Linked DNA regions of Caenorhabditis elegans. The protein of the gene in region 1 interacts with the protein of each later gene in a pairwise test. Each region holds a gene or a part of one and is shown on either strand. Other genes may lie near its edges.

What was found.
Region 2: the proteins of nhr-10 (region 1) and nhr-137 interact in a two-hybrid assay, tested with the Caenorhabditis elegans proteins (one large-scale study listed by BioGRID).

What each region holds. Positions count from the first base shown.
Region 1 is NC_003281.10:7,107,641-7,119,119, forward strand, and holds nhr-10 (Nuclear hormone receptor family member nhr-10), read right to left. Parts: upstream 7,799-11,479; 5' UTR 7,795-7,798; coding exon 7,682-7,794; intron 7,067-7,681; coding exon 6,987-7,066; intron 6,942-6,986; coding exon 6,775-6,941; intron 6,292-6,774; coding exon 6,118-6,291; intron 6,073-6,117; coding exon 5,935-6,072; intron 5,580-5,934; coding exon 5,209-5,579; intron 5,154-5,208; coding exon 5,009-5,153; 3' UTR 4,655-5,008; downstream 1-4,654. Other genes in the region: odd-1 (Protein odd-skipped-related 1), read left to right, coding at 682-998, 1,259-1,670; B0280.7 (uncharacterized protein), read right to left, coding at 2,748-2,980, 3,076-3,183, 3,226-3,348, 3,398-3,544, 3,596-3,838, 4,021-4,201. UniProt on the Caenorhabditis elegans protein: Probable transcription factor that acts in a feed-forward loop with nhr-68 to activate genes involved in the vitamin B12-independent breakdown of the short-chain fatty acid propionate.
Region 2 is NC_003284.9:6,660,198-6,674,257, forward strand, and holds nhr-137 (Nuclear receptor), read right to left. Parts: upstream 8,815-14,060; 5' UTR 8,648-8,814; coding exon 8,495-8,647; intron 7,327-8,494; coding exon 7,240-7,326; intron 7,185-7,239; coding exon 7,070-7,184; intron 5,866-7,069; exon of another isoform or gene 5,717-5,865; intron 5,485-5,716; exon of another isoform or gene 5,433-5,484; coding exon of another isoform or gene 5,285-5,432; coding exon 5,219-5,284; intron 4,997-5,218; coding exon 4,920-4,996; intron 3,918-4,919; coding exon 3,838-3,917; intron 3,508-3,837; coding exon 3,417-3,507; intron 3,321-3,416; coding exon 3,207-3,320; intron 2,597-3,206; coding exon 2,469-2,596; intron 2,310-2,468; coding exon 2,188-2,309; intron 2,077-2,187; coding exon 1,981-2,076; intron 1,934-1,980; coding exon 1,856-1,933; intron 1,805-1,855; coding exon 1,713-1,804; 3' UTR 1,588-1,712; downstream 1-1,587. Other genes in the region: col-172 (Nematode cuticle collagen N-terminal domain-containing protein), read left to right, coding at 12,786-12,851, 12,908-13,018, 13,064-13,199, 13,246-13,365, 13,411-13,760, 13,860-14,060.

The DNA.
Region 1 (11,479 bases):
ATTGCCGCCTCTACAATTGGAACCGAAAGTGCAAATTTTATGATTGGTAAAGACTTTTTTGAATCGGTTAATATAAAAGGGATGAGAGCTGCTGATGACAAACAAAAGGGTAACCGAAAAGAGATGGGTGGAGTCAGGAAAGTGTAGGATGTGGGGATACTATTGGGTGGTCATTCAGTTGACTGATCTCTACAGATACTCATTTTCCCTGTGACATTTCGAGATGTTCTGATTTTTCAAATTTGCTAGATGTTTTCTAGCCGTTCTCGCAAAAAAATGAATCTGAAAGGGTTGCAATTTTTAAACTTAATCCGGAAATTCTCAAATAAGACTCAATAGTTCTGTAAAATTGAAAACATTCTTTCCCATTAGCTTCTTGTTTTGGAGAGAATTCAACTACCCTTCCAGCAGACCCATTGACTTTCAATAAATCGTCAATAGGTGGCACAGTGTCGCACCTACCATTTTTCTGCGTCTCTTCAAACCGAATTGTTATTTTTTTTCTGATCAAGTTCCTTTTTGACTTATCAGTGCTTCCTTATCACTTCTTCCTAGTCTTTGTCTCTTCGTGTATCATGTTCTCCAATAGTTTTTGGGTCCCATCATTTGAATATGTATTCGGTTGACCTTTTTAGATTATTATGCACTTTTTTGTCAATAAAGTATTACTCTTTTTCAGGTATGACACTTCCATGGAATACCTTTCCAGGATCTACAGTTCCCCCTGTTGTACCATCTGTTGAGGATATAATTCGAATGTTAGTTGCCGGACAACAGAAAATTGCAATTCAGAATCTTCTTCAAAGTCAGTCGAAAGAACAAGTGAACGGAACTTCGCATGATCTACAAAACTGGTTGACATCTTTGTGCATAAGTCCATCATCTTCTCCTACTCCGTCCAATGCTTCTACATCTACAATTCCAGCACAAATGACAAATGAAAATGTTCTGCATTTGCAGATTCAATCACAACTATTCAGTAATCTTGGAACCCCATGGTGAGTTGTTTATCAACTTGGTTGACTTTTTAAAAAAATGTTAAACGCTTTTCTAAAGACTATGTGATGGATTGAAATTCCTCCAAACTGCTCATGCTCACTTCTCAACCAATCAGTGACTTTCCACTCAATTTTGAATGTTTCCAAGCAAAAATATCATTCGTCTTTTCCGCATTTAAAAACCATATCAAAAATTATATTTCCGTTCAATACTTGTAGCCTCATCGCTTTTTCTGATAAGTGAACTTCCATCATTGCAGGTTCCTGAACCCTGAACAGCATAATAAAACAAACAATGCAATTCGAAAGCGTCCAAAGAAAGAGTTCATTTGCAAATACTGTGCCCGTCACTTTACCAAATCCTACAATCTCATGATTCATGAGAGAACTCATACAAATGAACGTCCATTTCACTGTGAAACCTGTGGAAAATCATTCCGTCGACAAGATCATTTGCGTGATCACAAATATATTCATGCAAAGGAGAAGCCGCATAAATGTGAGATCTGTGGAAAAGGATTCTGTCAGCTGAGAACATTGAATGTGCATCGATCATGCCATCATGTGCAGGAACCCATTTCTGAAACATTCATGCTCGGAGCTATCAAGTTTGGGAAGGCAGACTCATTATTGATTGATGCTGAGCCATTGATCGATGTAACTACTATTTGAATTTGTGTGTATATTGAATGTAGTTTATTCTCTGATTGACTATCACCCAGAACACTCACATCTCTGAATCTCTTGAAATGATTCTCACCTATGTAGGTAATGTTTGTGTTTTTTTTTAATGTTTTATTTGAACTTAATAGTTGTTAGATTTTCTCCGATTCATGACCTTTTTAAATGATAATTTTTATATCTCTAATTGCAATGAGCCAATCCGGGCTTCGTGAACCTTTTTGCTTTTTTAGAGTTTTTTTTTTCTGTAAATTAGTCTTCTCATGCTTCCAACAGTACAACTAAAGATCTGTTCAATAATTTCCACACGCAAACTTTTATTCCTGTTAATATTTAAAAAAAACTGCTTTGTTATTTTGTTGCACCAATTTTCCAGAGGAACCACTAATTTTCCAAAACCTGATTTTGGACAAAGAAAATACAGATCAATAAATTTTTATTCACAACTTTTAAAGTCAATCTCTTATCTTGAAGTCTTCCTCGACTTTCTTGGAGCATTCCTTTCTACGTGAGCTTTCACAACTGCTTTCCAAAGAATATGCTCGAAATTCGGACGAACTTCTCTTCTGTGAGGCATCCTTATCATATTGAATTTCCAATGTTCCCTCCAATTTTGTGGGATTCCTCTTACAAAGTAACCAAATTCTTGGGAATCATCAGAAAATCCAAGGACGAAAAAAGTGAGAAGATTTATGAGAAGCAAACCTGAACGAGAGAAATTGCATTATTCTCAAAAAATATCACAAAAATTCAGTTACCTTTCATGGTTAAAGTGCCGCGATAAAATTATTGAGAAATTTTCAGAAAGATATCCACGGTTTTGTTAAATTTCAAACATATAAAAGTTATAGTTCACGCAAATATAAAACGTTCACTATTGTTTCAGCATTAAAAAAAAAGTAAATTTAGAAATTCCACTTGGTATGTAGCCCTGTTTTCAGACGCTGCTATTTTAAAGAGTGGAGAAAACCAATAAGAACAACACAATACTTAGTTTTTATTTTTGAGTCCCAAGAAAAAGTTTCGAATTTTTACAAATAACAAAACAAGTAAATGAAAATCTGATATTTAGAATTTGAACACAGATTTCAAAGATTTCTTCTTATTTTCCGGAAGCTTCTCAACAATTTTGTTCTCTTCGACTGGGCCTAGATCGTCACCGTTACTCTCAACAATTTTGAATTCTTCTAAAGAATTGTCACAGATGTAAACATTGGTTTGTGGATGACACAGGAAGATACAATCACGGGAAACTGGAACTTCTTGGCCAATTGGAAGAATTTCAGTTCCGAGGACGCATGCTGAAAAGGAAAAGGTTTTGATATACACAAACAAAAAACTAATCAGTAATAAAAAAAAGACAAAATACAATCTTTCAATTTGGACGTGTACTTACATTCCTTAACAATATGTCGATAGTTACATCTCATATTTGCACCCTTCTTCACATCAGTCCATTGACTAGCATGAGCATATGTTTTGTTGTCCATTGTACAAGCCAATTCTGAAATAATTTAAATTAATTTAGCCGTGAAGTTGAACATACCATCAACATTAGCTGACTTCAGGCTGACATGTCCAAACTCTGACTCTACACATTTCACATATGATCCGTCGAGAAGTTGTCCAAATTCATCGATAAGAACTCCGAGTTTGCCAATCACACATCCTGAAAGTCCACAAAAAAAATTGAAAGCTAGAAATCTACAGTGACCAACCAACAACGTGACTTTCATAGTAACTGTAATGCGGACGAAAACATTGCATGAGACGTCCATCAATTGATGTATCATTTGGATTGACTTGTGGTTCAACCCATTTCTCTTCTTCTGGGTAGATCGTCTCATTGAAATAACAACCAGCAGCTGTAAATAATGAACTAGTTTTTTCGATTTCATGAAACATTCAGAGCTTACCTCTCTCAACGACCTTTTTCAATGCTCCACCATAAAGATTGCAATGTAAAATGACAGTTCCATTACTGAGACTTCTTGTCTCTCCTGGATGCATTATTTCTCCTTGTGTATCAATACAAGCAATCGCTTCATAATTCAAAACTCCATCCTCTCCTTCTTCACAAGAAAATACAAAGTCATGTTGGAAAGTTCTCTCTCCTGGTTTCAAATAGTTATCACCATCAACGTTAGTCGGAGCGCAACCTAGAAATTCAGAGAGTTTGAGAAAAATAACATTAAAAGCTAATTGTTCGTTAAAAAAACTATATTTTAAAGAAACGATTGTTTGGAGATGTTGAAAAAATGTTTTCATCATATTTAATAGCAGCTCTGAAAAAGAAACTTCTGAACGCCAAAAACTTGAGTTTTAATCACATTAGACTTACCCAATGGAACAATCTTGGCTTTTCCTTGATTTCCCTCGAAGATATATTGAAACTTGATGAAATTCTGTACCCACGTCTTTTTCAACACATAAGGTTTTGTGAAATTTCTATCAAAAACTGCTGCAGAATCAGCATATTGCAGACAAATTACAGCTAGAATTGCAGCACCAAGGTTTTTCATAATATGATGTTTTTCGAAATAAATATTCCAATATAGCATCTCATTTCAATTGGTCATTTTATACCGTGTGTGGTCTGTAGTCTCTTGTTTGTCAACACTATTTCTTGTAGAGGTGTTGCTTTACGAACTGTTTAGACAGCTTTCAGTGCAGTGGTCAGTTAAAATAATTAAATGAAAAACAGCAGGATGTTATTATACAAATGAAAAAATCTATTTATACATGTTTACGAATTCAAAAATGCAATTCAAACGTAAATATTAACCAACATGTGTGTTTTTAGATAAAAATTTGAAATTTTGGCAATTCAGATCTATTCACAATTTCAATCCGAGATTTTATGTACTTTAATGAGTTTTTTTGTAAATTTTTCGTATTTTCCGTTTTCGGCAGTCCGCAAAATTGTTGGTTTAATGTCAATATCTGAAATCTTGATTATTCAATCAAAAAAACACTTTTAGAAATTCGAAGTATTTATATATGAATTCAATTTTTAAAAACCACAAATCGGTATATTGCAAATCACAATGGAAAATAATCGGAAATTTGGCGAATTAAAAAAATAACTTGAGGTGTAGAAGATGAACATTTTCTAGATGATGATGAAAGATTTTGACCCGTTGGCAACAATAAATTCATGGTGTGATTAGAATTAATATGAGTTGGAAATAAAATATCACTGATTTGTAAAACGGTAAGGCACAGTTGATGGATATCGACAAAATGTAGAGAAAGAGTTATTACCAGATATGGGAATGAAATTATACTTATGGATACGCTATGACGATAATGGAAACTGTTTCCATAACCTATTCAGTCTTGATTCCAAACAAAAGTTGTTTGGCAAACGTCGAAAATTGGATTTGATCAAAGAAATCAGCAACAAGAACTGCTTCTTTCATTTCAACAGCCATTGTGGCGAGGACAGTACCGAGAAGAAGAAGACGTCCGAATCTGGAAATATTTGAATTTTAGTTTATGAAGCAATAGAACTTGAGAAAAAACAAACCTATCCCCAGCATCTTCTGCTCCTTTTTTCTTGACCATATACCGATAAAGAGCATTTGTAATTGCACTTCTTCCATCACTCAACGTCTTTTTTGCATTCGAATCAACATCATCAGCGTCTGGATTCAAAAAGAAAATTGCTTTGAATGCAGCAAATTCAGTCATGTCAATTTCCATTGATCTCATTGGTTTCAACAATTGATCAAGCATTTGATACTTCTTTTTGTTGAATCCAAGAGGACGAGTTGGTTCAGGTGTTCTGTCAAAATAGGCACCGTCTGGGAAGACAATCGTGTCAAGACCATGATCTGGAGAATTGAATACATGAACCAATGATGGATATGTGATGGCTGAATGTCGAAGAAGAGCAAGCTGAAAGAATAAATTAGGCTTACATTAGTGAAAATTAACAAAAAAAATAGATTGGCAATTTAAATCTAAAATCAATATTCTATAGCTCGAGCTGCAGAAAATCAGCTGCCCGATCATTAGGCAAAAAAGTGCATTGTGTAAAAGTGTAAAAATTTTCGCATATTCCAAGACCTGATGCCGGAATTTTTAGTCAAAATTTAAACATCACACGAACAGGTTGCAATAATTTAAAATTTCTTAATGCCCACATTTTCCAGATTTTCCAGACTTTAAATCTAGGATTCCACTAGAAACCTTCTTCTCATAAGTTTTGAAACTTTTTATGACGCTTTAAAGTCCTCACAACTACGCGTACCTTATCCGTGAATGGAAGTGATTGGAAAACTGGCAACGTCTTTGCCCATTCGATCATCACAAACCAGTCTCGTTCGTGCCAATAATGATAATCTGATTGATTTGCAAACCTGAGGGATGTTACTCGGTGTCGCGGTGACTGAAATTATTTCATTTTTAAGTGACTTCCAGCTAATTCACTAACCAAAATAGCGTGTTCAGCCATAAAAACTTCATCTGTAAGTAAACAATCTGATACAACTGCTTCTATTAGGGTTCTTGATGGCATATATTCTGCAAGTCTGAGTGCACAACACTTTTGTTCCGTTGATGATAATAACGTTAGGAAATTGTCTTCACTGCGATCATTTTCAGATACCTGCAAATTAAATTTATATATTAGCTTTATGTATAGACATGTGTAATTGAATTTTTTGTTTAGAATATCAGGTGAAATTATATTCTCTAGTTTCCTTGGAATTTGCATACTCTAGAGGATCAAGCACCAAAATTACTTTTCATGATTTGTGTTTAGCGTAGAAAATATAGTTGTTGAAAAGTAGTTGAAAAGTTAAATTTAATTTTTTAGTATTTTAATATATCAAAAAGGTGGGTAGTTCTGTTGGTTACTCCACCTTCGAAATAAAATCTTTTGGATTGTTTTATCGTGATTTTATTTATTTTTATTTTATTTTAATAGTAATTGAGACAAATTCCTAGAGACACTGCTTGAAAAAATAATGTTATTCGTTTTTAGACAAAATTAAAGTGTTACATGTTTTTACTATAATAAAAATTATACATAAAACTGAAACCCATAAATACTTAATGGCTCAATCGTTTCTATTTTTGAAAAATTTACCATAGCAGGTGAGCACTCATCACTGGCTTCAACTTTTTTAATTGGTGGATATCTTCGTGTTCTTTTTGTATATCCAATTGGATCTCTGTTCTGTTGAATTGCATTTCGATCCATTCCAACTTGTAAACATTTCTCAAATCGACAATGCCTACACGCACATCTGATACCTGAATTAGAGAGTTAAATCTACGATTTAGAATCATCAAACCAACTTTTATCAACTGGACATTTTCCTTGAAATTGGCAGCTAAACGTTTGGTTTTTCATGATTGTTCGACGGAAGAAGGTTTTGCTGAAAAATTATAAAGTTTAATCCGATTTTTTTTGTATTTTCCATTTTTCTTTAGTTAATTTCCATATTCCTAGCACCAGGTACATGTCCCTCTCGGACACTAAAAATGAAACTCTCCTACTTTCCTGCCTACAATAAAACCAATGCTTAAGGACTTGCCTACGATGGAAGCCAAAAATATATAAATTTGAACCTTTTAAGGTTCTACGTTTCCAATTCATTGATTCACCATATCCGTGCAAAATGCAAACACTTTTTTTATTCATAGGTTTTTCCCGAGATCCCCCAAAAACAAAAAAAAAGTTTATGCCTTGTGCCATAATTCGTTTTAATAAACTACGTTTCTTTCTGCGAAACATTAGAGTCTGATTATGACTTTGCAATCTCAACTTACAAATTCAGTTAAGCTTCTTGATTTTTGATAGAAATTGGATTTTAGTTTTCTTGGAAAAAAATCGTTGATTAAACGGAATGAGAATTCGCGGAAAACAAATAGCTAATTTTGCAGAAGTTGAATTCATTTAATTTCATGAGTTTTTGGTTTAAAGTTTAGAATCTCTTTAATTATTTTTTATTTAAGGGTTTAGAACAACAACAAAAAAACGAAAAACAAACCATCCATTACATGAGGGAACTCCATAATGATAACCAGTTGATATATCGGAACAAACCAAGCATACCTCTTCAGGTTGAGACGAGTTATTTGATGACGGACCTCCACCCGTCATTTGGCTGAAATTAAGACAAGATTTCTAGAAAAATAAGAAAGAAGTACATGCAAAGTACGAGGAAACTGGAAATGGAATGGATTGAGATGCAATGGATTAAAAATGAATAACGATTCCGTAGAAAGATAGTTTCTACAAAATCTCACTTTTCTCTGAGCTTCCTTCCTTGTTATTCAAGAAATATTAAAATAATAACGAGTGTTCAAAAATCCATGATTTCTCAAAGAATTCGCAAAGTTTTATAAGAGAATATCAAAGAGTAGGAAGATTAGAAAATAATAATCCGTCGCTGAAAAACACCACACTAAATCTAACTCCGAAGTATTACATTCAAAGTACAACATGTTATTCAAAATATTATGATTTAGGGAATTTTTAAAATTCTAATTTTTCATCAAACAAATTGACAAAGTTCAACATAGTTTCCAAAACAGTTCGAAATTTTATATTTTCAGCCAAAATTTCTTTAAGGTACTTTTTAAAAATTAATTCAAAAAATTTTAAGTGAACTTTTTTAATGCGATTTCAAGCTAAACCCAGTAGGCTTTGAATAGATTATGTTGCAATTTCGTGACAAATTTTATAAGTTTCTCATAAATAAGACAACGAGAAAAATGGACAAAAAATTGCTAAGTAGTTGTAAAGTTTTTCTCGTGCCAGGACTCAAAACAGTGATTCTCGTATAAAATATATTATAAAGTTTCATAAATGTTGCATTTTAAAATTCAATTTTAAGTAAACATTGAAAAAAAAAGTAATAATTCTAACCGCTAATTCTTCTATGGATTGTTCAATATAGCGCATTGCTAAAAAATTTCCAATAAAAAAAAACAAAATTTTGTAATTTTATAGCGACAAATACTGTCTGCCAACCAACTCTATCTTCAGTCTCTCCACACCTTTCACCACAAAAAAAACGATAACAAATCTCGTGATGACGTCGTTTTTATGTTTCGTTTCTCTGCGTATCTGAACTTTTTCTAAGTTTCAGATTACGAACGAGACAAATTATTTGCCTTAATTGAGATATCTCATAAGATTTAAGATTAGAAAGAATAAAATTTATTAATTAAATTGAAAGTGCTGAAGAAAGTATCACATTCTAGATCAAAAACATATTGTTATTTGGAAAAGGATACAATCAGATTCAAATTGTTGGAAAGTAGCAAGACATAGTATCTGAACGCATTGCACATATTCCCATGACTATTCTATTTTTGTCTCTGAACTTTGAATATGATCATTGAAACAGAATGTGAAATGAAATATTACATGAAATGGGTAGACATAAAGGACAAATAGAAAAGGTGAAAGAGACCGAAAAGTGGAAGGGTAACCACGGGGACAGCACAGAGACAGAGGGAAGAGAGTTGGTCTCGAGTGATGAGAGAGTTAGAAGGGCAAGAGACGACAGAGAAAAGATTGAGTTGATGAGAGAGAGAGACAGACATAGATATATTATTACAGATTTTAAATTGAGACGCAGAGATAGTTGGCATAGGGAAGAGACAAGATAGTGGAAAAAAGGTAGCAATTAATTATTAGATATTTCAACAACAGAAAGCTCACTAGCGGCGGGGATAGACATAATATTAGAAAACAGAAATATTCACACACACACACACACACACATACACACACACACATACACACACAAATGATCAAAAAAGATGTAAATGTAAAGGTGGTGTAGTCGAATTTTTATTTCTTTATTAGACTCAAAATTGTCTGAAAACGCCGAATTTCATGATGAAACTTCTTGAAAACTTTTCAAAAAAAAAGTTATGCCCTCTTGAAATTTTTTTTTTAAATTCAAGTTTTTATCAATTTGTTCTGTAAATCTATCAAATAGATGCTTGAACAGATGGTAGGTTCTCTAATCTGGAAATTTAATTTTTATAAATCATTGATCAAGCCCTGATATTATATTCAGTTGTTTTCTATAGAATAAAATATGTTTGATCTTTTCGTGCTCGCTGCAAAATATATTAAAAACTACCAATTTATCTAGAAGTTAAATATTATTTTCCTAGAAAGTTTTGAATAATGTTAGAACAATCTTTATGAATATTCAGCTAAACTCATATTTGAATAGAAAATTCATTTTCGTTTTAACTCATCGATCAGGTTATTTTAGGCCTGAAACTGGTTTTTTTCTAGTGTGTCTAGCACAGATTAGTTGAAAAATGTGACAATCGAAATTGTTTGTACAAATATAATATGTTCGAGAATGTGAAAATTCACATTTACTGTATAAGAAGGTGTATGATTTTTCAATGAAATGAGGTATAATGATAAACCATTTTATTCTGGCTTTCTGGCAAAGGGTGTTTATGTAATCGTCTAGGCATTCTAGGTTGATACAAAAAACATGCCTACTGCCAAAAATCACCTGAAACTTTCTTTTTAATATTTATTTGTTTTAGTTAAACCTTTAAAAAATTAATTGAACTGTGGAAATTTCTGAATCTACTCTGGGCAATTGCCGAACATGCACCGAAATTTAAAACTGCACAATTTCACCGTAAAAATAGTTCAACATCGCTTCAATAAAAATATCTAACAAAACAAAAATTTGTAAAATATAATATTCATGAAAACGAGTGAATAAGAAACATGATATCTGGGCGAATATGTCTTAGAAACGACCAAAAATCGCTCCGAAAAAGGAAATAATAGGGTACTTGTGTATTACATGCCTTCATTTTAATTTTCATTAATTTCTCCAATTAAAATAAACGTGATAAACATTTTTCCTCTTCAGGCTTAGAAAAGGATATTTCCTAAGCCTAGAAATACAAAAATGTGGTACACGTTTTTATTGTTTTTAACTTTAAAAATTACTCAAAAAATGAGGGCATGTAATACACAAGTACCAATAATAGTATCTAAATAGACGAAGAGTTGCTCAAAAAGTTGAATCTGATTTCAAACAGATACCTCCCAAAAGATCAGAAATCCAGATATTACAGCATTGCTCTTTTAATCCTGTTAGAATTGAATGCGCGTTTGTGTCTACACCGAGACAAAAATAAAACTAAAATATCTTGTAGATACCTGAATCAAAGTAGAAACACAAAGAGACTCACTGAAATATCAAGGAAAAAAAGAGAGAAGCCAGACATTTCTCTCTGATTCTTTGGAACTTGCAGTCTTAATGAACTCTTATGATCGCTGAACTTTTCTAACGAGCTAATCTTTGGTTGAATGAGCATTTATTTTCATCTGACGTTGAACACATGAGTCAGAAGTACGGCTTTTTGTGCACTACAATTTAATAAATGACTTGACGTCTTACCTTGACGAATATTTTAAACAATTAATTAAATTTGGTCCTATGCGAAAAGTCAACATGCTCCAAATATACACAGGAGAAAGAGCTCCACGTAGGCTCAAAAATGTTAATTGCTCACTGGATGGCTCACACCTTCCCTATTTCTATACACACCTGAAAATGTTTCATTAGTTGACGTTTCAACTTGAAACTTTAATGAAATACATAAAGATATGCTTCTATTGGATTTTAACCAAGGAATAAATGCAGTATACTCTCTCTCCTTATAGTTAAACAAACAAATACTTGTAGCCACCTGTCATTAAAAAGATACAATCTCCGAAGTCAGAATTTTTATAAAAAACTATAAAATTGATTGATAGAATGTAGGTTGCATCTTAAAAACTGTTT
Region 2 (14,060 bases), on another chromosome or scaffold:
CACATACCTTTTATGATAATCATGTATCATTTATCTAATTTCTGTGATTTTCCTTCATTTTCAGACCACCTACCTACTTGATGTGAATGTTACTCATCTGTTTGATCTCAAATGCAACCAATTCAGATTACTTTGAATTTCTTGAAATTCAATAATAAAAAGTAAAAGTTGATTTTAAATTTACTCGTACAACTTAATTTACAATATTTAATTAGAGTAAGGTTGAAATGTGTTCATAATATTTGATCTCCTTAAAAGTTCTGTATTTTTATTCTTAGAATTGTTGTTTTATAAGCCGAAAAATGAAATTGAAACATGGAGTCCTAAACATAATAGCCGACAAAAGACCAAAACTTGAATCCTGAAGACTTGAGTCAGAAGGAAATGACCAGATATTAGTCAGATAAAGAGACTTAAAAATCATGTACCAATTTTGGCATGAAGGATCCCTGCGCAGAAAAAACTGAGCCTAATTGTGAAGTTTTTAGAATGAAGGACTAAGTTTGAATTTAGGCCTTGGTGTTTGTTATCCAAAATTTTGTTGCTGACACGTCTGTTTGGTAATCTATTTGAAAGAAGAACGAATACAAAAATTGTTTCCAAAAAACTAACACAAGAAGCTAGAAATTTGTATAATTGCATCAAAATAGTAAATGAAAATAAACCGGTTTAGATTTCAAAGCTCTAGTATTTTAGTATAGATACCGTATATTCTCTGTGAGTGCAAGCGCGGCATCCTTTTTTTAGTGCGAATGTCACCTAAAATAGTTGATTACTTTAATTGTTCATTTTTCTTGTTCATTTTTCTATGATTTCTTACAAAATTTCGATTAAACATTGCATTTTAGTGTCTTTGTAAGGCAAAAAGACAAATGTTTTTAAATGAATTTTCACATAAAATATGAGTTTTTGTGAACTTTGAAGTTACTACTTTCGAAAATCAAACAAACAGAAAAAAAAGTAACTTCGAAATAAAAAGTAATTATCGAATGTTGGTGCAACAGTCCCCAGTAGTCCAGCAGTCTCTAACAGTGCACAGGTCGCAAAGACCCCAGAAATTAGTGCTTGCCGCACTAATTTAATCTAAAAAAGTAAACTGGATTTTGATACCAGTTCACTCACAAAGAGCAGTTTTTTTAAACAGTTTTTTACCAGAAATCCGGCTAACATCCGCCAAAATCGGCTATCGGCTGACGGCAAATAAGCCGCATTGCTAAAAAAATACGATTAAGGGCTATTGCAGTTAATCGGGATAATGTTCAGCTAATGGCTACTTCGGTTGATATTAGCCGATTTGCCAAATTAGCCAATTGACAAAATCGGCTAAATTGACTATTAGCTTCCCACTCCTGATTTTAAACACGGTGGTCTTTGATTTTAGGAGCCCAAGTTGATTAGCAATGTTTTTCGACGTTTTTATATTTTAATTGTTTAGTAATTCACTATCATTTGCCATATGATCAATGTTGTAATTCTGTTACAAACAAAATTTGAGTAAATGTAAATAATATGTAATTTATTTTAAAAGCAGACGTTTCGAAGCGTTCTGTTTATGTTTGTTGCTTTACAGAAATTATTTGCAGAACATTTTTTCACATAAATATTTATATGACACAACACTTTTTCACAAATAGAATAATATACAAATAAATTTCTGAGATTTCATGAGAACATAGGACAATTGTACTACTTAAATTACTAATACGGCATGTTTATTTTGCTGGACGATAATCGAAAACACATTGTTCAATGAGAAAGTCGCGAAATTTCTGTCGAGAGTGTTCAGCTTCCTTCATTTTTTGCTCTGAAATAAATAAATCAATAGTTTAATAAATACTTCTCATGTGTAACATACTATGTGCGTGGGCTGTTTTGATGAACGTTTCGTTTAGTGCAATCAAGGATCCGTAACGTGCCGAAAAGTTAGTTGTATCTGAAATTTTCGCAGTTGTTGTCACGTTTACTGATCATTGGGCTTACTTTGTGTAATGAGCAAAACCATTAAGCAATGCATGCTAGATTTCACAGATTTTTCCAATTGTTCTTTGCCTTCCGGTGTTAAATTTTCCGGCGCTGCTGAAAACTCATAGTTTTCTATTTGTGTAGTCAGATTACAAATTATTTAATAGTTGAAAATTTTATGTGCTGATAGCTTTCCTGTTCCTGCACTATATTCTTTGTACCCACCAATTGTGAAAAAGAGCAATTGTAGTGTCAAGACCAGCTCATCGATTGTGAATGATTCTCGATGTAATGGATCCAAAATGCAGACAAACATTTGAGTAAATACGGCGTGTATCACAGAACCCCTGTAAAACACATAATTTGTGAACAGGAATAATCGCATTTTTTTTTCATCAGCCTAATAAACTTTTGATTCATCATCACAAGACACAATAGACACCTTATTTTAATTCCGATCAATCTAATCGTGGTGTTATCACCAATTCAAAACATCGGAAACTCACGAATTAGCTAGAGATTGCATGACATCAGTACCGTCGGGCATAACAACTGTTTTCTTTTTGTCAAAGTAGCTTTCAATTGCTTCGATAGCTATTGCTATTGTAAAGCATGAATTCCGAATAAGCTCTTCCTGTAAATATATACAAATGATCACAAAAGTATATTTATTTGTGTGTTTCAATTGGCTTAAAGTCAGTCTATAACTTGTATGATCATATAATCGATCTGTAGTATTCAGTATTTTCAGTAAGAATATTTGTGCAAGATAAAAAATGAGAGAATTGTTTTTTTTTCCAATTGATAGAAATATTAGCCAGACACGAGAATCATATAATAATATGCTCCGCTTCTATCCGGTTTTTTTTAATTTTTCGGTCGACTTTTCTCGTACATTATGATACTTTTTTGTAGGTTACCTTTTTATTAATAGTATGACTGCGTAGAACAAAATTGAGCACTGTGTGGTAGCTGTACCGTATAATATTTTCAATTTAACCAACCAACACGGGAATAATTATTCAAAACTTATTTCCATACTTATAGTTAGTCATAAACAATTCTAATTTTAAAATACCAAAAAGATTCACTTTTTTGTTTTTATAAATGGGCAGCATTTAGAGATATGGCTAGTACACTACCACAAATGCTTTACGACACATCTCCTAAACGATAACCAAAAAACACGTTCTTTACGCTGAGCAAATTTAAATCACCGGCATTTAAAAAATACCGTGTTTTACCTTATCAGAATCCGAAAATTTGGATAAATCAGGTAATTTTTTAGCAAATTCGATAGCACATAGTAAATCAATCGTACACCATTCAGGAAGATCTCTTTTGAAGTCGGTTTCTTCCTGAAATAGATAATCGAAGTTTATCAAAAATAGTTCTTCCCATCCATCATATATCACGATCGAGAAAAAAAATCACATAGTGCACGTGGGATGTACCTGATAATTATTTAGGTTGTCCAAGAAACTGGGCATAGTCAGGAGTGCACTGATGTGTAGATCTATCTTCTCCACGATTATATTACATTTTCTGAAATTATTTGTTTACTTTTTACTGAGTGTCTTCTCTCCTTTTGTCCTATCAAGTCGTTTAAAATTCTGTGAAAATGCCAATTAAGCAGATTACTGTAGTTGATTTACAACTTTTCAGTATAGAATCTCTCACAGAATAACGTTCTTGATGTCTAACCCTACAACAAGTTTCTTAATCATTATTTTCTGATCGCTGTCACTGCGAAAGGCAACAAGGAAGTGGTGGTGGTGATAAACGCATCACGTCTTCGCTATTTTCATCTCCATGTCTTGCAACTACCGACGGTGTTGGTCAACATTATTTTAAACGCGATAAAAAAGTCAATACCTGAATTTAGTGATGAGTCGTAGGGTTTGTCGCAAGCAAGAAGCCGTTTCGGTAACTTTCGGAATCGCGGTAGATGTACTCTGAACAATCTTAATTAGAAAGTTTAAACTCTCCAGGAAACATTTTTCTGATAAGTTTTGCAACAAGGAACAAGGATAGAAAAGGAAGTATCTTTATCATTTGTGATCACATGTTAGACAACAGCTTCCTCATTGAATACGAGGCCAACGGATAAAATTATCGAGATTTTTCCTTGTCTCTCTTAGTGATAATAAATCTCGAGAAGGGTTCACTATGGTTTCGAAGGATTTGGTCATGACGTCACTTTTTTTCTGATTACAAAGAACGTTCGCTTTTTTGTCCTCATCTAATTGAACGGATTTTAATCACGTTTGTAACACTAACGGCAGAATATCAAAGAAACAAGTAAAAGCGAACAAGAAATCAGAGTAAAGCTTGAAGCTTGATCCGATTTATTGGAATCAGCTGCACATTAAACGATGTTTCAAAAAAATCCAATGTGTGACTTCAAGTGTGATGTGTCAATCTTTGCAAAATGTAAAACATCACTCATCTTTTTAAAGGTTTAAGAATCGCATTTGAGTAAATTGTTTGAAACTAGTCATATCTCGCAAAAATGACAAAATATCATAGCAAAACTTTTCAAAACTTCTTTTAATTTTTTAAAGGAAAAGTAGCTTGAAAAACATAAAAGGAAAACAAAACAGCAGAAGGATGAAAAATCTATATTTTAAAATTCAATCCCATTTGAATTCTCTCCAAAATGAGAAGCTATGTTCAATTTAAAAAAAATTAATCAGCTTCTTTGAACTCTGCACACCCAGGACTTTAAACCAGCAGAAATTTTCAAAATTTCTCAAAAAGTGCATTTGGCAACATACCTAAAAGTTGACAAAAAATTTTTTTTGAAAAATCTAACGTTTTTTGGAGTGTTTTATCATGATATTCAGTCATTTTGGAAAGATGATAGTAAATTTAGAGTAACAATAATCCCACTGATGATATTCTACTTTTAAATCCCTTTGAATCGTCTCTTTACGGAAAATTATTGAAAACCGTACCGGTAGCGAGATCGAGGCAAGATAAGCAGTTTGTGGCGCGACTTTTTCTTCGTTTCCAACTATTCCTGACGTGACTGCTGTAACAAAACAATGATTAACTATTACACATGTTTTCAATAGTTTTTTTTCTGTTTGTAATGTTTTTCTATACAAACACAAAATGTTTTGATGGTCAAAATATGATAAGAACGAAGGTTGAATACAATGTGTTAGATTAATATCACATCTTGACCCCATTTTGAATTATGTACGCATGATTTTAAGATAAAATAGATTTGAAAAGAAAATGATAAAAATACCTTCTTTTCGCATTCCTTGTTGAAGACAACGATCTAGTCTGCAACTGCGACACTTGATTCGTGCTCCTGAAACAAAACACATGAAACCCTGTTCGGGGAATAAGACGATTAGAAAAAATAAAACAAAAACTGAAAGAGCCATTTGTTCGACGAATTCTGACTGATCTCGAATGTCGAATCCCAGATGTTTTTGGCGAGGACACTTTTGCCACATGATGTTACGCTATTTCTTGAGAATATAGACCGCTTATCTTACAAGTGCAATAGAATGATCACTGATTACACACCATTGCGTGCATTTTTGAACGATCTGTCGTCTGCCTACCAGAGTTCACATTATTATTTAAACTTATTCAAATGTGACTTTTGAAAAAAAAAATGTGTTGGCGTCAAAAAGTAAAGAACAAGAATAAATTCTCAAAATGTTTTTAAAAAAACTCAAATCCAGTTTAAATTTATTTTTTCGTAGTATGAAATCAAATGCCGTTTTCTTACAAAACCAAAACAGAATTTATAAGCCTCAACAAACAGATGGTTTGATTTCTGCTCTCAGCTATATGCTAATCGAAAACGAAAAGGAAGAAATGTTTGTAATTGAAGTTGATTTTTGTTAAGAAAACGACTAAACAACGGGAAAACGAAACATGCAACCACGACACATTCAGGTGACTCTGGTCAGGTCAATAAGGATTAAATATATTTCTTGATAGTTGCTGAACTCTATGAACGTTTTTTGAAGTGATCAAATGGTTGTTGAAAATGGAATGATTTTTCGAAAGGTTGAACTTTCTTGAATCATTTTTTAAGAAGGAGTAACGTTTTTATGTATTCTGAACGTATAAGCTCCAATTAACCATTTTAGTAATGCAACTTCTCCGATATTTTACGAAATTCAGATGGTTGTTCAAAATTTTGAAACAAAATCCTACATTTTGTTAGTCAATTTTTCCAGCAATCCGAAGTTGATTTACTTTTTTGAAATATCATCTTTTATTGCATAATTTGGTCGTTTATCTCAGGTTATTTCGTTGCTTAAAGTACACTGAAAGCTAATAGATAGCCAAAAATTGCCAAAAATGTTATCTATCAACTATGAATCCATCTTAATTAAATGTGAGATGAACGGTACCAATATACAATGAAGGATAATACTTTGAGAAAAAATGAACTTGCGAGAGCTGCGACACGGAAATACTGCTAAAATGTTGTTAGCTGAAACTATCTAATTTGTTGTAAACTTTGAACCGCTAAAAACCATTTTTTAAATTTTTTTTTAGAAATTTTCATTACAAAATTCGCTTATTTGAGCACATTTTAAGACTATGCAAGCTAAAACCCAGAACTGATACTTCTCTTTTAAGGGTTTATCACTTGTAGGTCTTTCGCCTTATTCTGTTCTATTTTGTCATGTTAGTATGAGTATAAAAGAAAAGTATAAAACAAAATCTAAGAAATACAGGACAAGATTTGTTTTGAAAAACGAATAGAAAGCTCAACAAAAGACTTTCCAAAGAATGTACTTCTTGGTATTCTTTCATACACTCCGTCTATATTCTTACTAATATCACTAACTAGAACAAAATGAAAGTACACCCCAAAAAGTTATTGACTAACTAACACCAATTAAAAATAACCATGTACTTGTTCGAACTGTTTCATGATCTATTATTTATATTAAAACACGATTTAAAACTCTAAAAGCGCACCCTACACTGTGTTCAACTGACCAAGTTCTTTTCATACGTCAAAACAAAGTACAACTGGAGACCGAATCGGCTACGTAATGAATGAATGAAACCCCTGCCACGCTTGGAATTGTTTGCAACTACAAACAATACTATTTGAACTTACCCGCCACGAGACGCATGTTTAACAGGCAATTTGAATCGCCGCGAATACATCGGTAACTAGAGCCCGAGAGAACACACCGTCTGAAAAACGTTTTGCATCCGTTGCAAGATGCTACCTGAAAAAAGTTAATTGTACCACCTGTAGTGCAGCTAGAACAACAATGAACTCACGTTATAATGATAGCCAGTGGCTGGATATAAGCAAACTGCACATGGTAGATCGAAAACTCTTCGTTCTTTAGCTTGTGACACGGTTGGCTGAAAAAACAGTATCTCACTTTTTTTTGTTTTCATTTTGTTTTAAGGAAACCCCTTGCCTAATAGATTTTTCCTTCAGGCATGTCGTCAACACGTTTATTTTACACGGACATTACAGATGGTTTAGTCAGAGTCAACCATTATTTATTCAGTGACGTTTTCACTCGCCACGAATTATGCTGAACTGAGTCATATTGGAATTATCAGTTTTTCTACTGATATGGATTGATATTTTGTGTGTGATGATAGATGTTTCTCACAAAATGTTCGAAAAATGATTTTTTTTTTCAATTTTACTTTTCACTGTAAAAAATGAATTTGAAAAAATTATGCAAAATCTCAACTAGACAATTGAGTACTTGAGACACTGTAAACGAAAAAGTACAACGGTTCAAAACATGGCTAAATTTAGTCCTTCCGGTGAAGTCTACGGCACTTAAATATCTAGTGACTGCCGCACTTCACGCACGATCAAAACACACCCCGGCGATCACAATTTGTCTAATTACTAAAATTCCGCGTGTGACTTTTAATGTTTCGAAAGGATAAGGATTAGGAATGGAAATTTCCACTACGAGACATGTGGAGTTTAATTGCAACGTTCACATTCTCGGCGTTGCATTTACTGAGCCTTAAAATAGAAAATTTGTTTACTAGTTTTCACATGCCCTTTCCCATAATACTGATCAGTAACATGTTGCTATCATAGGATACACGGACAACAATTTTATCATTCGAATTTCAGGTGCTCCTGCTTTAAAGTACGAAATTTTCGTAGTTTTATAGCACACTTTCCAAACAAAGCGAAAAAAAACCTTTATTGAGTTGTTACTGTAACACACCAAAAAGATATCAGAAGGCACAAGAATGATCTAAACAGGAAATTGTTGCGCGCCACAGAATCGAGAGGGAATAGCATAGGATCCTAGAATAACTAAATACAAGCCATATCAGTGATGTGTCGACTTTTATTTTCATTCGCTATTGGAAAATACGATTAATAGGAATTTTAATTTTCAATTTTTTTTGTGATGCTTATAATAGTCTAGCTATTGTTCAAACATTTATGGCTCGCAATATTGAAAAAAGACAGTCACTTGATTTAATCGCTGTTACGATGAAATCCAAGATAACACAACTGTCTCCCTCTGTTTTCAGTTAGACCTACCTTTGGCGAACTCGATTTTGATAATGATGGTGATGGTGTCGAGTTGGGAGTTGACCACGAATTTGAAGGTGCGTAAGACAGTTCGACAGGGTAATCGGAAGAGAAAGAAGGAAGAATGGTGAGACCGGAGAAAAGATGCGCGTTGAGGATCATACAGTCGTGATTTGGTCGCTGCTTTAATTGTTGTCAGAGCACACTGTTGCAATAGAGAAATAGTTAAATAGTTATGAATGAGAGTATATCGAAAAGGTGAGAAAAAAAGTAAAGGTAGAAAATCAGTATAGAAGATTGCTAGTTAATAACAATCGGAACTCATCGACCACCGAGGAGGAAGAGGTTTTCGGGTGGTGGGCGAGGACGAAGGCGGGGCCTTATGTTAAGATGCGCACCGGCAACGGTTGGTTCACCAGCGATTTGCCCTCCGTCGCAGCAGCAGCAAACTGTTGGTCAATGAACCGGGCCGCCCCTTACGGTCAGACGCCAGCAGTTGGAAGTAGCCCCATGAGGCCGTCCTTTGTGTCTAGTTTGATAGTGATGAGAAGGAGAAGGGATGGGACCGCTTGTCAGAGATTTGAATATCAGGAAGAGGAACGTGAAATGTCTCCGACTCATAATCACCTCAGTCCCCCGATGATAATAAAATAGACGATAAAGACTCAACCGATCAAGAAAACAGAACCCCGCAGCGTGATTCATAGACATGATGTTCATACAAATACTATTTGTTCATTAGAACAGTTATTTCAATATCCATATCCAACGCGTCTGCTTGAATCCATGAGTTACAGTTTTCGTGTTTTGTAGCCGGTGAATATACCATACGCGGCACCCCTGACTATCGCGATTTTCAATCAATCGGGTATCCTAACCGGGCGCACTGCGGAGTGATGTCATTTTTAGTAAAATCTTAATTTAAATCTTGGTACTCGAAGAGGAGGATAAGGAGGTATTACATGTATCGATTTTTTCTACGCTAATGACTCCAGGAAAACAAGGAATTGTTGAATCTAAATTGTAGTCGAGTTTGAGTACTTAAATAGGATACAAATACGAACGCGTTTCCACCAAATCAAACTTTAAATTTCAAATGGCGTTCCACAAATAGACATTTCGAATTCGACGACTTGTTTATCATTCCGGGTAGTCAAACTAGTATTCTGTAGAGTTACGTGGTATGCATATTATACAATTTTTCGTGAAAGAACAAAGAATTCTGATACCAATACCAACATGCCACCCAGTAGATTCACTCAAACAGAACGAGCACACGTTTTCTGGTAGGTGGCGCTTGCAAACTCTAACATCTAAGATGGGCATTAAAAGCTGATGAAAGTTTAGATCAATTGGAGATTTGTAAACAAATGAACATTTTAAAATAAGTTCAATCGGTAGTGAAGAGGCGGTATCCTCACATTTCGAAAACCCCTCAATTTTGTCTGAATTTTAAGTCAAGAAAACCAAAAGTACATCGTGAGATTTTATAATCCCGTTTAGTACGATGATTGCAATCAACATGTTGAAATAATTTTCAATAACTGATTAGGAATGATTAACAATTGCAAAAGTACAATAGTTCCAGAATGATTGTGTTTAAAAAAGATGTGTCACATTTAAAATATTTTATATGTTATTATTTTTAACATAAAGCATCTCTTTGTGCACCTATAACAGGAAATTGAAAATAAGTCCTGTTGGATATAGTAAAATATGTACGATTACTTTATTATCCACATGTTAACAACTTTAAAAAAAAGTAATTTAGTTGTTTGACCTTTATTATTCATGAAATATAAAAAAAAACAACTATATATTATCAAAAAAAAGACACTCATATAATGATGAAATTACAACTTTTAAAAAACCCGTTATTAAAAATAAAAAGGTTTTACTTAACAGGATATAATGGCAATTACTCAGTTTTCACCTATCCTAAGTTTGAAAGTCGACCAAAAAAAATTGTTTTCTACAAATTTTATATTTTAATTGAGGTCTAACTATTATTGTAGCATTCCCATTTGCTCGAGATTTTTTAAGTGTTTTTTTAATCCCTACTGGAGCTACTCCACCTTTTAAAAATATTTCTGCATTCATGAAAAGTTTGAAAGTTCTTGAAAAACTGTAAAAATGATGATAATTCGTTCATTTTCATGATTTTACAAGTTTACAGAAAAATAATGTTTTTCATTTTGTAATGGAACTAATTTATCATAAATTTCGGTTGAGATAAATGTGCACATTTAAAAACGATTTTGATAAAGTTCAGTGGTAACCTATTGAGATTCATCTTTGAGTAATACTGTATTGTTTACTTTACTCCCAAAGGTCTTTGCGCAGATGAATAATATGACTAAAATTTTTAATTTTGGTAAAGGGCTAAAAAACCTAATTAAACTCCAATATTGTGAAAAACTTGTTTTAAAATGTACCACAAATGAAGTTTATATTATAAATTACTTACAGTTTGTTCAACTTTCCCAACTGATTCTGATATTTGTTTCGTCATTATGGGATGTATTTTGTAGACATATAAAGAGCGCAAAAATAATTTTTTCAGTAAAATTCTGGTTGCAATGGACGGGCTCATTGTCTCTCTCTCTTGAGCTTTTATAAATGAGCAGTTATTAATGAGAGGGCGTGATATACGTTTTGTCATGTTAGGATGCGCTTCAGTTATCTGTCATTGATATTTCATTCAGACTTGTGACTTTCGATTCTTAAAACTGCTTCAGGTATTCTTTTTTGTTTGACGTAAACTTTGAACACACTGACCTGTTACTTACTTTTCCCACCAATGTGATCACATAAGTCTGCAAATTCTGCAGTATATGCCCTTTGAAAATTCATTGACGTAATTTAAGGTTAATTATAGATGTGTTATGTTTTAAGCTTGAAATATATGCGTGTGTTTATGTCTGTTTTTTCCCTTCTTATTTCGACTGATCAGACATTTCATTTATACAAATTTGAAACAAATGGGAATTCGACACATTTGATGAACATTTTCACGTTTCTGTTAGAACAAGAAAAACATTAAATAAGAAAACATGTACGCATTTCTAAATTTTCCACTTTTACTTTTTCCATTAACTTTCACAAAGTCCGCTAGACGATTATGTTTTGAACAAATTTCCAAAATGCCACTTGCACTATTGATCTACCCGTTCATATCTTGCAAGAATCTCAATGAATACGGACACCCGTACCTGTCGGCGTTTTATCTAACTTTTTCTGGTTGGAAAGGCAATAAACACTTTGAAAAGATGTGAAATCATGAAAAAAGGTAAGACAACTATAGTGACATAATTTTTTGATTTCTATGCAAAACGATATATTTTCAGTTTCAGTTCAATTTTGGAAACATTTTTTATACACACGCACATACAGTACTGATCAAAAAGTATTGCTTTTTAGTTTTTCAAGAATTTTATTAGTTTTCCAAATGTGTAAAATTCAAAAACAATAAATTTTATTGAAAGATGTTATTCAAAAATAAAAATCCAAAAGGGTCTTACAAATTGTCTGCCGCTTAATTTTTTACTACGACTTCTTGGAATATTTAATATATTTAAAAGTATGGACAATATTTTGTGATTAGATTGCTTCTCGATAGAATTTCTACTGTCTGAATTGTAACCATTTGCAAAACAACCAATTTAACGAAAAAAAGGCGATGTTTTGGACAGCATAGTGTAAATTTTATTGAAATAGACTTGGCCAACTAAAAGATACGGAAGTTCCATGTTTAATAAAGTAAATTAAGTTTTAATCATTTGAAAAATGTATATTAGGAAAAAATGTTTTAACATATTACGAACTATTCATAATATCTACAATAACACTATGAGAAACATAATGTCAGACGGAGCAGGCTTTTAAGAACGTTTAATTTTCTAGTTACATTTAAACGTTTTCCTTTACTTATAATTTTAAATGCGCTAAGTATTTTGCAAAATACGGAAACAACATGATCACGAGGCAATTTTGCAGGTTTTCGATCCGTAGATAAACTATTCCGTTTCCAACTTCAAAATGAGGAAAACCAGTCAGAGAACCGCAATCGTGGGCCGGAATCTTGTTGGAAAATTTGCATATAAGTGGGCCATCAAAGGCAGCGATCACACACCATTCTGATTTCCCTCACTTATTTACATTTCTTATCCAGCAAAAAGCTTTGCCGACCGGATCCAGACTGTGTCGGCTGCTCAGCGGGAAGTAACTGGCAACGATAGTATAAAACGACGCCTTAGTTTCATTTCAATTCATTCTTTCTTTACTATCATATTTTTTCGTCATGGATTCTTCCGAAAAACAGTTGTGTGCTGAAACTGAAAGAATAAAAAAGACTGCTTTTTTATCTGTAAGTACATAATTGAACCATGGCAAATAATTCTACTATTTTAATTTTAATTACAGGTCGCAATTTCAACTTTCGTAGTTTTTTGTTCAGTTGTAATGCTTCCTCTTATTTACAACTATGTTCAAACTCTTCAAACACACATGCTCAATGAAATGGATTTCTGTCGAGTAACATTTATCTTTTTCTGATTAAAATTTTCTTACCGTTTTCAGACGAAATCTAGAGACCTGTGGGTGGAGGTCGTTTCTGTTGACGGCGCTTTCGGTAGAGGCAAACGAACGATTAGATCTGGTGACCGCGCTAAACGAGAGTGGAGTTTTGGGCAGTTTTTCGAGAGAAGTCAGAGAGGTTTGCTGGGTATTGATTGTTCTTTTATGCGAATACTTAATTTCAGCAACTGGATCAGGGTCTGGAAGTTCTGGTGGCTACGGTACCTATCCACCGGCCCCTACGGTCCCTCCTACCTACGGAGATTACAAAGTAGCTGCCGTTGAAGAATTTCAGCCGGCTTCATGTACGTTTTGAAATGTTAAATTGTACCCAAAAACTAAAATTTAAGGTTGCACATGCCAACAAGGACCTGTTGGGCCAGCAGGACCACCAGGAGACGATGGGCTTGATGGTATTGATGGAAAGTCGGGAGTCGATGGACCACCCGGAAGAGATGGAATTCTCCTGCCACCCCTTGGCCAAGCTCCGGAACCATGTATTATTTGTCCACCAGGTCAAACTGGTCCCCCAGGGTTCCCAGGACAAAAAGGTCCAAATGGGCCACGAGGAAGCCCTGGACTACAAGGCCAAGACGGAAAGAAGGGAGAACAAGGAATGCCAGGTCCACAAGGTCCGACTGGAAGACCAGGTAGACCGGGACCCAAGGGACCAAAAGGAGAGGATGGAAGAGTTATTATGGTAAATATCTGTCTGCTTTTTGTCTGCTGTTTGCTTGTTCTATGATATTTAGTTTGAATTGATCTATAGAGAACATAATAATATTGATATTATTTGCAGGTTGCTGGACCCGCGGGACCCGCAGGCCCACCAGGACTTCCTGGAACCCCTGGAAAACGAGGAGCGCGTGGTATGGACGGCTTGCCGGGACCACAAGGTGCACCAGGACAACAAGGAGATTCCGGACTATCGGGCCCAGACGGAAAAGAAGGTGCAAGAGGGGAACGTGGACCACAAGGACCTCAAGGGCTCAAGGGATCC